2 linked regions of the Stegostoma tigrinum genome follow. The protein of the gene in region 1 interacts with the protein of each later gene in a biochemical or structural test. Links are inferred from orthologs where the notes say so. Each region holds a gene or a part of one and is shown on either strand. Other genes may lie near its edges.

What was found.
Region 2: the proteins of sh3rf1 (region 1) and RAC-beta serine/threonine-protein kinase form a complex in vitro, tested with the Homo sapiens proteins (2 studies listed by BioGRID and IntAct, with this or other methods). The link is inferred for Stegostoma tigrinum from reciprocal best matches to the Homo sapiens genes SH3RF1 and AKT2.

The regions. Positions count from the first base shown.
Region 1 is NC_081356.1:127,442,876-127,450,877, forward strand, and holds the start of sh3rf1 (E3 ubiquitin-protein ligase SH3RF1), read left to right. Parts: upstream 1-4,739; 5' UTR 4,740-4,825; intron 4,826-6,379; exon of another isoform or gene 6,380-6,428; intron 6,429-6,493; exon of another isoform or gene 6,494-6,571; intron 6,572-6,922; 5' UTR 6,923-7,072; coding exon 7,073-7,468; intron 7,469-8,002. UniProt on the Homo sapiens protein: Has E3 ubiquitin-protein ligase activity. In the absence of an external substrate, it can catalyze self-ubiquitination. Stimulates ubiquitination of potassium channel KCNJ1, enhancing it's dynamin-dependent and clathrin-independent endocytosis.
Region 2 is NC_081392.1:8,806,171-8,813,725, forward strand, and holds the start of RAC-beta serine/threonine-protein kinase, read right to left. Parts: upstream 3,138-7,555; 5' UTR 2,996-3,137; intron 1-2,995. UniProt on the Homo sapiens protein: Serine/threonine kinase closely related to AKT1 and AKT3. All 3 enzymes, AKT1, AKT2 and AKT3, are collectively known as AKT kinase.

The sequences.
Region 1 (8,002 bases):
ATTTATGGCTTTGCCATCCATCCTTATCTACCTGAAAGCAGCCAGCATGTTATGAATTAAGTTTTGGGTAAGTCAAGTGTTTTGAGGTGATCACATCACTTTGTAAAATACAAAAATGTGGTAACAAGAGTAAACTATCTGGTAGCCCCATGAACCTGCTCCTCAATTCAATGATACCATGGGTGATCTTTGACTTTGTAACCACTTTCCTGCCTGATCATTACACACTTGAATTTCCAAGTGTACAAAACTGTATCAGAGCCTTGAACATACTCAACCAATGAGCATCCGTGTCTCATGGGGTAGAGAATTCCAAAGTGTATGAACTCCAGAGTTAGGAATTTCTTTCATGCCTCATTATTAAACGATCAGCCCCTTGATTTTGAGTCTGTGCCCTTAAGTTCTACACTCTCTAGCCAAGGGATTCAACCTCTTTTGGAGTTTAATCCAGATGTTTATCATTCTGCTGCTCCATATATTCTAAATTTACTCCTTAACAATTTCCACCTTTATCCTTTGGTCCAACTTTGTAGTATTAAAGAACGTATACCACATCAAAGCATACAAATCATTGGATAAGGTCTCCTGTTAATGACCTTTTATCAGGCCTGTAAAGATTTTCTAACTTTGCCTTGGAACTCATCCTTTTACACCGGAGACCAGTCTTGCTGCTCTTTTCTATAACATGTTATGAGTGCATGGCAAGCTGCCCAGAACTGAAATCAATATTCTAAATGTGGTTTGACCAATCCATTGTGCACAGCCTTGTGAAATGCTCTTCAAAGCAACTGAACACTGCTTGTATTACTGATGGCTAACAGTGCCCGGATTAGCGGTGTTGTACTGTATCAAATATATCATCACACATTTGCTGAAGGGAGTTGGGGAATTGTGGTCTCGCCTTTAATGCATTGCTAACACTTTCCTGTTGATGACAGCTCTGATTAGAGGGAACTAATAGAATTAATCACTGTGAAAAATAAATGTACAATATGATGCTATGAGAAGTTCACTGCAAACTGAGCCTCTAAGCTTCCCTTTACTAGCCAGGAAACCAGATAATTTTGACATGCTTCTTTTACATGCAGTGTTCATGTCCATTTGTATGTGGTTGAATCAACACAATCTTTGTGAGCATATTTAATGTAGAGGTTGATTAACCTTTGAGTGTCTGGAGGAGGTAAAACTCATTGAGGAGTTCGGTCAGCCATGATCATATTACATGGCAGAGCAGGTTCGATGGGCTGAATGGCCTCTTCTTGTTGCTATGTTTCTATCTCTGTCGCACTACTGTTGACAAGTACGGATTGCTGACAAGTCATGAGCATAGCCATGATGATTCTGGGGAAAGTGCCACAAATACGTTTGCAGACAACAAAAAAATTTTGAATAAAACCAGAAAATGCTGGAGGATCTCAGCAGGTCTGGTAGCATCTGTGCAAGCAGAAATACAGTTAATGTTTTGAGTCCCATATGACTCTTGTTGAAACGAAAGAAGATTCTTGTTTGGAAGAAGACTAATACCAGATTCTTAAACATTAACCCTGTTTCTCACTCCACAGGTGCTGCCAGATCTGCTGAGTTTCTCCAGCATTTTCTGTTTTCATTTCGGATTTTCAGCATCCGCAGTATTTTGCTTTTACAACAAAAAGCATTCTTGCAATGTTCACAATGTTAAGACATGACAAAGTGTGTACAGCTAATTAAATAGTTCTGAAGTCAATTTAAGAAAGGCAGCAGCCAAAATGCACACAGCAAACTCCCAGAAGCAGTAAATTCAATAACAAACAGGTCATCTGATTTTGTGATGATGTTTGAGGAGGTGGACAAGGCATCGGTTTAATATTGCTTCTGAGAGATTGCACCTCTGAGGGTGCTATGCTTTAACAGAACTATGTGAGAGTGTTGTTGAGTTTTGTGCTCAAGCCCTGCAGTACAACTTGAACCTTCTGACTCAGAGGCAAGAGTTGACACAGTTGACATTTAAATCCACAAAGGTGCACAAATATTGATCTAAAAGGGTGTCCATACGTACACAGCTTTACACCAAACAACCAAACAGGTTAAAGTTCACATGCATACTTCGTGAGAATGAGTTTGCAAATGACATGCCCAATGTTTGACTGTGACTCGTTATTTATTTCAACAGAAGTACAATTAGCCACCTGTAATGAGGGGTGGATGTATTGAATAACAATGCCCTGGTGGGACTGTTCCTAGGATTTACTCCTTGGTCAATATAAATAGTTTATCTGTAGATTAGTTATGAATTTACTCCCCTTTTCAGGTAAATGCCATGGTCTCTGTTTCTACTGTTCTGAACAAGGTGAAACAGCTTCTCATTTGCTAAGGCATTTGAAAGACTGCAGAAAAGATTAATGAAACCAGCTCCAGGTGTTACGTGGATAGATTGAAGAAGCTGGGGCTGTCTGTCTGGCTGCTGGCTGAGTGGAGTGGTGGTCAAATATATTTTGTGAAACCTTTGGTTAATTTCAGTGCGATATACCTGCAAGATTCATTTGGTTGAAGGAAATGCCCTTGTTAGCTGCAAAGGGTAAATAAAATGTTAACTGCAACAGGATTGGAAGCTCAGAACACATTGTGAATTAACGAAGAAAGAAAATAAGCAAGGTTCTCTCTCAATGTTTTGCAATCTTCGAACAGGTCCTGGTTTTGAAGCAGGTCTCTGACTCTAGAGCAGAGGTTGTGTCTTTCTATTTGTTTTTCAGTCAGAAAAAGCACATAGTGTAAAATAAGAGGATAAAAGTTTGTGAAGTGGACAAAACCCACTGCTGTTCTCACTGTTACCAGAGCTCACCAGACCATTTAAGGGGATGGGAGAAGAAAACCTCTGTGGCTTTTGTGCCATCATGACTGGAATGAGAGAGTATTCATAGATCATAGTGTAGCAGCCTCCTGGCTGCTAAAACACAGATAGATTGCTAATTTGGCCAAACAACAAGGGTGCTGGGTACACTGTACAAGTAGAACTCTGAAGTCACAAAACCCACCCATCAGACACAGTGCAAACACAACTGCTGCTAATGACATTAGTATAATGTAAAAGACAACAGTTATCTTGGACAGACATCCCCAACAACTTATCCACTAAACAAAGGTGGGCCCAGACAGAAAGGCACCGGGTCCTGCTAAACAAAGAAACTAACAGTGGCGTGCCATCCAAATGATTGAATGCTTCAAACTATTATGTGTATATCCCTGATTGGTTAGAACTATACAAAGTTCCAGAAAACCATCTAAAAGGTGTAAAAACAGGGTTCACCTGCCTCTTGGAATCTCTCTTGAAATCATCTGTGGGCTTCCAAAGAGACTAGCTGACCATCCAGAGAGAGACAGAGAGAAAGAAAGAAAGCAGCTTCACAGACCCAGAGAGTGAGCAACTGCATAAATCTACAAGAAACTCAGGAATTATTGTAACCTTAAGGGTTAAATAGGATTTGAGAAGATATGTTTAATATCGAAGATTATTGTAACTTTTTTCCTAATAAAGATGGGACTGTTTTGCATTGGTTCTGTGTTTGTACTGATTTGACTGCTTTGGTATGATGAGAGACCTAAGCAAATTATTTCATAACTTTCTGGTTGGAGTTGTCTAACTTGTTTAAGGAGAAATCAGACAACAGTAAAATCTCTGCAGTGCAGATAGATGCCATTTGGGCCATTGTGTCCTCATTGACCCTCCAAAGAGCATCTGACCACCCCCACCCCACCGTATCCTTCCAAATTTCATGGCTAATCCACAACCTACACATCTCTGGTCACTATGGACAATTTAGCATGGCTAATCCACCTAATCTGCATATTTTTGGACAGTGGGAGGAAACTAGAGCGCCTGGCAGTAACCCACGCAGACATGGGGAGAATCTGCAAATTCCACACAGACAGTTGGCCAAGGCTTGAACGTTGATCTCTGGTACTGTGACATAGTGCAACATACTGCAACTTATTAAATCTGGAATATAAAACTAATCAGAATAACTGCTGGTTGGTACAAAAACACACCTGATTCACCAATGTTTGGAAGGATATTAACATAGGAGGTGGAATAGTCCATTTTGCCTTCCAAGGCAGCTCCACCATACAAGTGATCAAGGCTGTTCATCAACTCAACAGCCTGTTCCTGATTTTCCCCATAATGTCCTTTTAGCTCCAAATGCTATATCCAACTTCTTCTTGAAATTATTCAATGTTTTGGCCTTGATTGTGTAGAAAATGCCACAGGCTCAGCACTCTCAGGGTGAAGAGAGTTTGCCTGACCTCAATTCTGATTGATTTAGCCCATACCCTTAGACTGTGGCATTCCCGGTTCTGGGCTCTCTTCATTGAGGACATCCTTCCTGCATATACCTGTCCTGTTAGAATTTTGTAGGTTTTGGTCATCCTCACCTGTGTGGCTTACATGTGACCGCAGACCTACAGCAACATGGAGCACGTGTCCCCTGAGATGCCCTCACAAGCCACTCATTTCAAGGGCAGCTCCGGCCCCTGTCAGAATGGATAAATAGTGTGAATCTGCTCTTTACAAAGTTACATTTAATCTACTAAACTACTCCCAGTCCTATTTGTGAGTGGCTCGGCAGATATAAGGTGACTTTGCACTATTGTTGTAAAACTTTTGGATTAGTTTGTAGTTTTGTCTTTGTTTGTTTGGGGGGGGGGGGGGGAGTGGTCCGTAGCGTTCGTAACTTCTCCAGCCGCAGGCCAGCCCACTGCGCAGGCGTGGACCCTGCTCGCGGCGCTTGCGCATATCGGTCGCTGGGCGGCCTGGCAACAGCGGCGGCTCCGAGAAGAGAAAGAAGAAGAGGTGAGGGAGGGAGAGATAAAAATAAACATAAACATAGAGAGAAAAACAGACACAGACAGAAAGATGGGGGTGAGGGAGAATTAGAGGAGGAGAGAGGGGTCAAGGGGAGAGGCAGGAGGGATTAAAGAGAGGAGGCTGAGTGAGGCAAGAGGCACTTCCCGGGGCTGGTTGTGTTTTGACTCCCGAGGTTAGTGTGAAGGGGAAGTGGCGGCCCGTCTCTCACGCCACCCCACCCTCTTACCCTACTCCCTCACCGCAGCCCCCCCGCCTCACCCCACCCCCACCACCCTCCCCCTCCCCCCCCTCACCCCCACCCCCTCCCTCCCCCCCTCACCCCCACCCCCTCCCTCCCCCCTCACCCCCTCCCTCACCCCCTCCCTCCCCCCTCACCCCCTCCCTCACCCCTCCCTCACCCCCTCCCTCACCCCCTCCCTCACCCCCTTTCCACCCTCCCTCACCCCTTTTCCACCCTCCCTCACCCCCTTTCCACCCTCCCTCACCCCCTTTCCACCCTCCCTCACCCCCTTACCATACCCCCTCACCACCCCGCCTCCCCACAGCCCCCTTCTCTCTCTTCCTCCACTCACACCGACATCCCCCTTCTCTCTCTTCCTCCACTCCCACCGACATCCCCCTTCTCTACCAGCAAGTTTTTTTTTGGGTAAAATGTTAATCGAGAACCTCTCCATGGTTCTGCCCCGAAATGTCTTAAAATTCCCCCTTCACTCCCGCTGTTTTCCACTGATTAACGATGTAGCAAGTCTCTGACAAAGAAATCCCGAATGCGACACGGTCCTTTCTAATCAAGTGCCCAAAATCCCGAGTGGTCGCTCGATACTGTGCTGAAAGGCGGACAGATTGACAGACGAGATCTGAAACTCACTCTTCCCCACTGATTAGGGCGCCCATTAGTGTAAAGCTTTCAAATCATTGTCTTTTTTGTCACAATTCCCAAAAGGTTGACTGTAATCTCAGTGAGTTTAGGAATATTTCCAAGACATGATTTTTGTTCTCTCGGAATTTAGTTTGTCCAAATTATATTGCAGTGTAGTCGAGTGTGTTAAACCTTTTTAAGCGCTGTGTTGTGTGTGTGATGTACCTTAATTTGGGAAGTCATCTCACTCAGAACTAAGTGAACGAATGGGAGTGGATCTGGTTCAAATCCACAAGCCTTGGGCTATGTGTCTGTGACCAGCCGCCTCTGCGATGCTGCAGGAACGAGCCTCAACGGTCGCCGGCAGCTTCTCCTGCACTTTTTTTATCTGCAGAGTTGCCCCGTGAATCTGCCTGTACGCTGGCGGACGATTCTTCGCCTTTGAAACATTGCAGCTGCCTGAGAATGTGTAGCCCTTTCGGATGGTTGGGAGGGGAGGGGGGGGAAAACGTGGGAGTTGTGCTGAAGGCGGCGGTGCAATGGTCTGTATTCTCCCCCCCCCCCCAATTGCAGAGTGAGTAATTCGCTCTGGCGTCATGTCATTCCCTGCGGTTTGCTGGATTGGGATTGGAGCTTGTAGAGCTGGCGGGGAGGGTGGGGAATAGACTGTTTGAAAGACTGGGATATTGTTGAAGCAGCGACACGCATTCGCGTTTCGCTCCACTCGGGGTAAGTCGCTGCCCCCCCCCCAGCTGCTTGTGTGCGCGGCTTCCCCAGCAATCAGCTGATGGTCTGCCGGGCTCTGCAGAAGGGACTGGAGCTCTTATTCGGAACCATTCGGTCCATCCAGCTGTTTCTGTCGGCATTCTTCGGTAGCTAAATGTTTAGTCCCACCTACATGCTGTCGTTCGCAGCCCCGATTTAAAAAAAACCTGACTTTTAGATTATTTTGGACGAAGGAGTAGCATTGCATTATGGCTTATGTGTAACCTTATTGCTAATAAAGCTCTGTTGCTACGTTGTTTATTTAGGAGACCTCTGTAGATATTTTTTGAGAAAGAGCAAATCATTATATGTAACTTTGATGCAGTTAATGGGGAAGAATAATCACCTTATTTCTCCTTAATTTTTTATGGCCAGGAACTTTTTTTTAAGATGCTTGTTCTGTACTGCCATAATCCTGTATCCCCATTATTTTTGTGTTTGTTTGGTTTCTGAAACAGTTATTTGAAGTTGAAGTGGAAAGGAATGGATGTGACGTGACTGAGGTTGCTGGCTATCAGGTTGTTCATCACTCAGCGGAACCTTTGTTACAATGAGGTTTCTCTGGAGACCTGCCTCGGACTGAAGCTTTGGAATCGGAGTGCGAAACAATGGACGAATCCATTTTGTTGGACCTGCTGGAGTGTCCCGTGTGCTTAGAGCGACTGGATGCCACGGCCAAGGTGTTGCCATGCCAGCACACGTTCTGCCGACGGTGCCTGCAGGGCATCTTAAACTCCCGGAGCGAACTGCGCTGCCCGGAGTGCCGAACTTTGGTGGACTGCAGCGTTGACGAACTCCCCACCAACATCTTGCTGGTGCGACTACTGGATGGTATTAAACACCGGCCGAGGAGGCCGGGTAGCAGTGGGATCAACGGCAATAACAACGTAAATGGTACCACCAGAGTACAAAGCAACGGAGCTATTTCTGTCCCCAACTGTGGCACTGCGTTGCGGGATCTTCAGAGCATTCATCGAGTGCAGGCACGTAGTCCCCCAGTCAGGGTAGGTTCACTTTGGTTTGCCTCTGCAGGTCACGTTAATGTGAGTGCGGTTAATGCTAAAACATTGAGGGCTGAAGAGTGTTTGGATGTTGAAACTTTGAATATTCTCTAGTCATTTTGGTATGAGTATGCATGCTCATACACAATTGCTTTTTCTTTTGAGGTATGAGTAACTGGTCAAATGACTATTCAGCACACAGAAATTAAATTAACCTGCAATACAGAAACAGGAGTATGCAGTGTGGGTCCTCAAGTCTGTTTTGTCATTTATTAAGATTGAAGACTCATGTGATCAAGAAACACTGCTGACTTAGTGTTCAAGAGGGCTCTCGTATTAATAATTCTTTTAACTTCATCAAATCCAATTATCATTTATCTCTTCTGCAGAAATGCATCAGATTGAGTCCCGGCTCTTTGGTTTTGAACAGCTAAACTTTGGGACAGCATAGCCCAAGAGCCTTTTTGCTGCATTGTGGTTTTAAACCAGGCAGTTCCCCATTTACACCAGCTAACTTGCTCTGCAGCTCCTCCATCT
Region 2 (7,555 bases), on another chromosome or scaffold:
GTTAGAACTTGATGCAGGTTTACAAAAAGATCATTTCACAGTGTGTACAGTTCTTTCTGGAAACATGTCCTTCCACACTTAAATCGTCCACCTTTCAAAATCCTTCAGAGGTTATATTGCATTTATGAATCTGCCTCATCACCAGAGTGGACAATTGACACAGTCCTCACACAGGGCTCAGTGCATCAGACAGTTGGATCAGAACATTTGCTGCTCTTGTCCCAGACCAGGCATTAGCCTCAGAATTGATTTACTGAGAACAAAACTCTCTGCCCAATTGCATTTCTCAACCTGAGAAACTCACTCACTTTCTCAGCATCACATAAAAAAATAGGAACAGGAGAAAGCCATTTGGTTCTTCCAGACCATTTACCATTCAATGAGATTGTGGCTGATCTTCTACTTCAAAACCATTTTCCTGAAATATTCGCATATCCCTCAATATCTTTAATATCTAGAAGTCTATTGTCTTGAACATGCAGGATAGAGAATTCCAAACACTCACCACAATTCTCAATATTCTTACTCATCTATGTCCTTTTGGGGAAACCAAGCGGAGGCTTGGGGACCACTCTGCAGAACACCTACGCTCGGTTCACAATAAACAACTGCACCTCCCAGTTGCAAATCATTTTAACTCCCTCTCCCATTCCTTAGATGACATGTCCATCATGGGCCTCCTGCAATGCCACAATGATGCCACCCGAAGGTTGCAGGAACAGCAACTCATATTCCGTTTGGGAACCCAGCAGCCCAATGGGATCAATGTGGATTTCACCAGCTTCAAAATCTCCCCTCCCCCACTGCATCCCAAAACCAGCACAGCTTGTCCGCCTCGCTAACCTGTTCCTCCTCTCACCTATCCCCTCCTCCCACTTCAAGCCACATCTCCATTTCCTACCTACTAACCTCATTCTGCCCCCTTGACTTGTCCATCCTCCTCAGACTGACCTATCCCCTCCCTACCTCCCCACCCATACTCTCCTCTCCACCTATCTTCTCCTCTATCCATCTTGAGTCTGCCTCCCCCTCTCTCCCTATTTATTTCAGATTCCTCTCCCCATCCCCCTTTTCTGATGAAGGGTCTAGGCCTGAAATGTGAGCTTTTGTGCTCCTAAAGATGCTGCTTGGCCTGCTATGTTCATCCAGCTCCACATATTATTTGGGATATCAGCTCATTTCACTCCTCTCTGAGAAGGCTGCGCGATGAAGCAACACAGAGCAGCCAACTCTCGAAATGAGAGCCGACAGCAGCTTTGCAAACAGCAATCACTTGCAATCTCTTCTAGTATGGACAGGAGCCATTCTCCATCAGTCAGTCCGGAGTACAGTGACAATTTAATTCCACGTGCATCACTTGCATCTGAATGACAATGCTGGGAGTAATCCAACAGTTTCACTCGTAAGGAGCAGCAAGTGTCATTCAGTGTGATGTCTTGTTTACACGGTAAAACAAAGCTAACAACAACTTAAGTATCCAAGTCTCAATGCGCGCTGTTTAAAAGTCATGAGGCTGAGCATGCTTGGAAGCCAATTCACATCTAATCTGAAGATCAATGCTTGGATTCAACTCTAACATCAGCATATTACAGTACGATAGTCATCTCCTTTAGTGTTACCACTATCAAATCTATCACCACTTCCTTCTTTTGGAATACAGTTTGTAATGAACTGGAACCAGTGCCGAGAAAAGTGCTCGTTGGCGTGAATTTACATAGCCTCTGCTGTCAACCAGCCAGTCTGCCTGTGAACGGGTTGCAAAGATGCCAGGGGCTACACATGGTGTTTCAGCATGATCAGGTTTATGGTTCACCCAAGACTCCACAGGTTGTTGACTCCCCTTCCCAAGCATCTCTACCTACACGTAGCCAACAGCCATTCAGAAATAGGCTACAATGCCACCACCATCAAGCCCAGTTAGTAGTAATAGACTGCCTTCATGCAGACAGGGTGGGAAATCAAACACCAAAGGTACGGATCTTACTATAAAATAAAGGTGACCATTATAAGTTGCATGTGCCAATAAACTACTTTCATCCAGGGCGGGGGGGGGGGGGGGGGGCGGGGGGGGGGGGGGGGGGGGGGGGGTGATACCATGCACTTTACCTAATCAGGGAGGGGCAGGATGTCTTGGATCTCTCATGTCCAAAATGAATTGAGGGGGTAGTGGCAAAAAGGCAGATCCTCTCATTGAAAAGGAAAGCAGGCTCCCTGATCCAAAGGGATTGGGCAAGCTAGCCCTCCACCAGGCCAAAGAGACTGGGCAGATCCCACCACCACCATCCCCACACCCCTCAGGCCAAAGAGACTGGGCAGATCCCACCACCCCCACACCCCTCAGTCCAAAGGAGATGAGCAGATCCCACCACCCCCACACCCCTCAGTCCAAAGGAGATGGGCAGATCCCACCACCACCATCCCCACACCCCTCCGGCCAAAGGAGATGGGCAGATCCCACCACCACCATCCCCACACCCCTCAGGCCAAAGGAGATGGGCAGATCCCACCACCACCATCCCCACACCCCTCAGGCCAAAGGAGATGGGCAGATCCCACCACCACCACCCCCACACCCCTCAGTCCAAAGGAGATGGGCAGATCCCACCACCACCATCCCCACACCCCTCAGGCCAAAGGAGATGGGCAGATCCCACCACCACCATCCCCACACCCCTCAGTCCAAAGGGACTGGGCAGATCCCACCACCACCATCCCCACACCCCTCAGTCCAAAGGGACTGGGCAGATCCCACCACCACCATCCCCACACCCCTCAGTCGAAAGGGACTGGGCAGATCCCAAAATCCCTCCCGCAGTCCGAAGGAATTGGGTTGATCCTGCCCCCAGTCTAAAAGAATCGTGCAAATCCCACACCCCGAATCCAAAGGAAGGGACAGATTCCCCCCTCCCGACCCCCGGAGGCCGCGCTCCCCTTCCACCGCAGGCGCGGGGTTCCCGTTTTCCGAGGCGGCCGCTCACTCATCCCGCCCCAATACCTGGAGCCTTGTTGTGGGGCAGTTTGTATGTTGGGCTCGGGGGGCCCGAGCTCCGGCCTCTCAGTCTCTGTCTCCCAGGCTCCTGTCTCTCAGACTCCGCGGGAAGGCCCGGCTCCCGGACATGACTTGGGAGGCTGGCGGAAGTGGCGATCTCGCCGGGCATGACGGGTAGCAAACGATTCTCGCCAATCAGAACCCACGCTGCTGCGGATGGCGGCGGCAGCCAATCGCCAAGCGGGAAATACAGACCAATCAGGGGTGGGGCTGAGGTGAGGTGGCGGACCATAGCAACCATCCTTGACCCAAGCAACCATCCCATAACCTGACAACCCTCCATAGCTTGGTAACCATCGCAGACACTAGCAACCATCCCATAACTATTCCAGATAGTAGCTTGGTAACTATACCATAGCCGAGCAACCATCCCTGACCCAACCAACCATCCCATAGCTTGGCAACCATACCATAACTTGGTAACAATACCATTTCCTGGCAATAATCCAATAACCTGGCAACTATACCATGCCCAAGCAAACATCCCACAGTGTGACAACCATCCCATAGCTTGGTAATGATCACATACACACCCAATCAACCATCCCATAGTTGAGCAACCATCCCATAGCCTTACAACTGTTCCATTCCCTTGAAGCCATACGATAGCTTGGCAATTATACTGTAGAATCCTACAGAACGGAAACAGACCCTTTGGTACAATTTGTCTGAACTTTCACACCGACCAGGTTTCCCAAACTAAACTATTCCTATTTCCTTGTGTTTGGCCCATATCCCTCTGAACTTTTCCTATTAATGTACCCATATAGATTGGTAACTATATCATCGCCTGCGAATCATCAATATCCTAGCAATCATACCATGTCCTCATAACTAACTATACTATAGCCAAACAGCCATCCCATAGCTTGGTAACTGTCCCATAGTTGAGTAAACATTCTATAACCTGGTAAGCATGCCATAGCCTTGTAACATTCCCTTACCCTGGCAACCATCCCATAGCCTGATAACCATTCTATGACTTGGCAACCATGCTGTGCTCTCAGTTCCGAGTTCAGGTAGAGCCCATCAAACAGTATAGTTTCCTCCTGTCCCAGTACCAGTGCCATTATGCCATGAAATGGAAGTCATCTTCACTGCATCATGTCTTCAAGCATTGTTCACACTTTTAAATTTGCCCCAGTGTCAATTTGCATATGACTCAGATAATAATCCGAAAATTGTTTAATCTTGAAATCCTGTACTTTAACTCCCAGTTGCTGGTACTCTACCAGCAGGACCTCTTGTCTGCTCTTTTCTATATTGCTGGCCCCAACATGGACTACAACAATTAGATCCTTCTCGCTAAAGAGCCACAAAAGCATCAAGAGCTTTGAAAACAAAAATTGACGTTTTAAAATCAAAGTCTCAATGATCCAGGAGCCAGCATAGGTAGGTACGCACTCCATACAGAAAAAGGAAAAGAATAAATGCATTTATGCAGCAGGTCAGAGGCTAGGAATCCTGCAGTGACTAACTCACCTCCAAAGCTTATCCACCATCTACAAAACACAACTCAATGGAAAACTCACCATTTGCCAGGAGTAGTCCAGTTCCAACAAGTCTCAAGAAGCTCCCTCCCTAACAGCACTGTGCGACTACCTACGGAAAATGAAATGCAACGTTTCAAGAAGGCAGCTCACTATCACCTTCTCAAAGGTAACTAGGAACAGGCAACAAATACAGGTCCAGCCAGCAATACCTGCATCCGTTAATCAATATTCTGGGTGATTTATCCATCCAGATGTTTAAGTTGATTGTGTGCTTCCAATCAAGTGAGCTGTTCCTTGATGGTGCAAAGATTATTGAATTATTGCAGCTGTATCCACCCAGGCAAGCTTCCCATCACACCTCTGACCTGTGCCTCGTAGAAGATGCAACGGCCTTTGGGAGTCTGGATGCAGAATTCCAGCTTCCAAAAAGTTATGCAGCTGTTCCACTTGGGTTTCCAGTCAAATATGACCCTTGGGTTATTGTCAATACAGTTTAATATATTACAATGAGTCAGTTGCACTTGAATTGTTTTTGGTGAGATGTTTGCAATAAGTTTGTATGAAGTGCATTAAATAAGTTTTGCTATTAAGTTTGTCGCAAACTTAGCCAAATTGATTATACTGTTTGCATCACATTGGATAATTTATCTTTGATCAGTTATATCTGACTGATCCTGTTGAATGAGTTACAGCAGATTCCTCAAATAAAATGATTTGCATTGGACAAGTTGCATTGAGCGATTTGTAGTCAGGGCTTGTATTTATGTAGCACCCACGGTATTTTGGAAGATTCCATAGCCAACTTGAGAGCAGCAAACTCCCACAAACAAAATTGTGATTAATAAACGACCTGATTATCTGTTTTTGTGAAATTCATTGAGGGAGAATGACGGGACACTAGGGACAGCTCACTTGACCTTTTATAGCATGGGCTTCGGTTTAGAATCATTTCCAAATAAAACACTTCTACTACCTCAGCTCATCAGTACCGCTCTGGAATATTCTGACTTGGAGACAAAAGTTATACCAACGGAACCACACTTAGAACAGAATGCCTACAGTGTGGAAGCATTCAGCCCTTTGAGTCCACACTAACCCTCCCAAGAGGGTCCCACACAGATGCACCCCATCCACGTAACCCTACATTCCCCATGGCTAACCCCATAGCCTGCATATCCCTGGACACTATGGGCAATTTAGCATGGCCATCCACTCTAACCTACACATCTTTGGACTGTGGGAGGAAACCGCAGCAACCCCACGTGGACAGGGGGAGAATGTGCAGACTCCATATAGGCAGTCGTTCGTGACTAGAATCAAACCCAGGTCCTTGATGCTGTAAGACAGCGGTACTAAACACAGCCACTGTGCCACCCCAAGTTGACAGATAGATGAGTTGCATTGATTAAATGTTTTTAGAGGGAGCTGTGCTAGGTGAAGTGAATTGGATTATTTACATTCAGGTGGTTACCTTGCAAGACGTTTCTTGGATGTTCTCTAATTGTGGGTGTGCGTGAGAGGGAGAAAGTGGAAAGTGTAAGCAAGTTACATTGCATCATGTCGGATGGGTTTCTTTGAGAACTTCGGTAGCTAATTAATTGAATTGGGCGACCTATGGAGAATGAATTCAATTGCATAAGTTGCATTGTGTGACTTCTGTTGGGCAAGTTGTTTTGAGCAAAGCGACATTTTTTGTTCCTACTATCTCTGTAACAATTGTTTTTGTTTGAGTGTCTTTGGGAGCTGCGCTTGCTGAGTTGTGTCGGATGAGGTGCTTTACATAATTTTGCAATGTTAATTAATTGCATCGCGTTGGGAATAGTTTACAGCATGAGTCTTCGGGGTGAATTCTGCTAATTGAGCTGTGTTGGGTGAATTACAGCAGGTTATTCATGTCGCATATACTATATTGCATGAGTCGTATTGCGTGTACTGTGTTACGTAAGTCGTGTTTAGTCAAGTTGTATTGGAAGAGTTACTTTAAGATAATCCGGCTTGCACTTAGCTAGCACCTTCGTGGCATCCCGAAGTGCTTTAAAGTCAGTTATGCATTAAAAAATACACGTATGGTATTGTGGAAGATTCCGCAGCCAACATGAGAACAGCGAGCTCCCAGAAACAAGGATGCGATTAGTAAATGACCATATCGCCCATTTTTGTGAAATTCGTTGAGGGATAATTACAGAACACTAGGGAGAGCTTTCCTGCCTTTTTATATCATGCTGCTTTCGTTTAGCATCGTTTCCAAAAATAAACACTTCTGCGACTACTTTTGATTCAGATGCACTGTTATGTTGGAGAAACTTGAGAAGTTGCGTTGAATTATATGGAATGAACTGCACTAAGTGCTTTTTTCAGTATTAAATTGTTGGGCGATGTTCTGCTGGATGAGTTATATTTTTGGTGAGTTTGATTGAGTGAGTCCTGTTGTGTGAGCTGCAACTGTCCGCTGCCCATGTCCTGACTTGTACCAAATCGTGTTCAACCATCATTACTGTGCTACTGATCTATGTCTACAGCCAGTCAAGCAATACCTCAATTTAAAATTCTTCTGTTTGTTTGCAAATCCCTCCAAGACTCTCCCCTACCCCCACCCTCGCCCCCACCATCTCCGCAATAAGTTCCACCCTAACCATTATACCAGACATCTGCTCTGATCTAATTATAGCCCCTTGAGAATCCTTGATCTTAATCACCGCCCCCCCCCCCCCACCATTGTTTGTTTAAGAACCAGACGCAACTATTGGTTAGACGGGGTCCAGGCATAGATTCTTCTGGAAGAGTTTCACTTGGGGTGGTACAGTGGCTTAGTGATTAGCACTGTTCTCTCACAGCACCAGGGACCCAGGTTTGATTCCACGATTGAGCGACTGGCTGTGTGGAGTTTGCACATTCTCCCTGTATCCTCAGGGTGCTTTGTTTTTCTTCCAATATCCAAAGATGTGCAGGTTAGGGTGAATTCGCCATGCTAAATTGCCCAGAATAGGTGGAATCGCCATGGGAAATGCAGGGA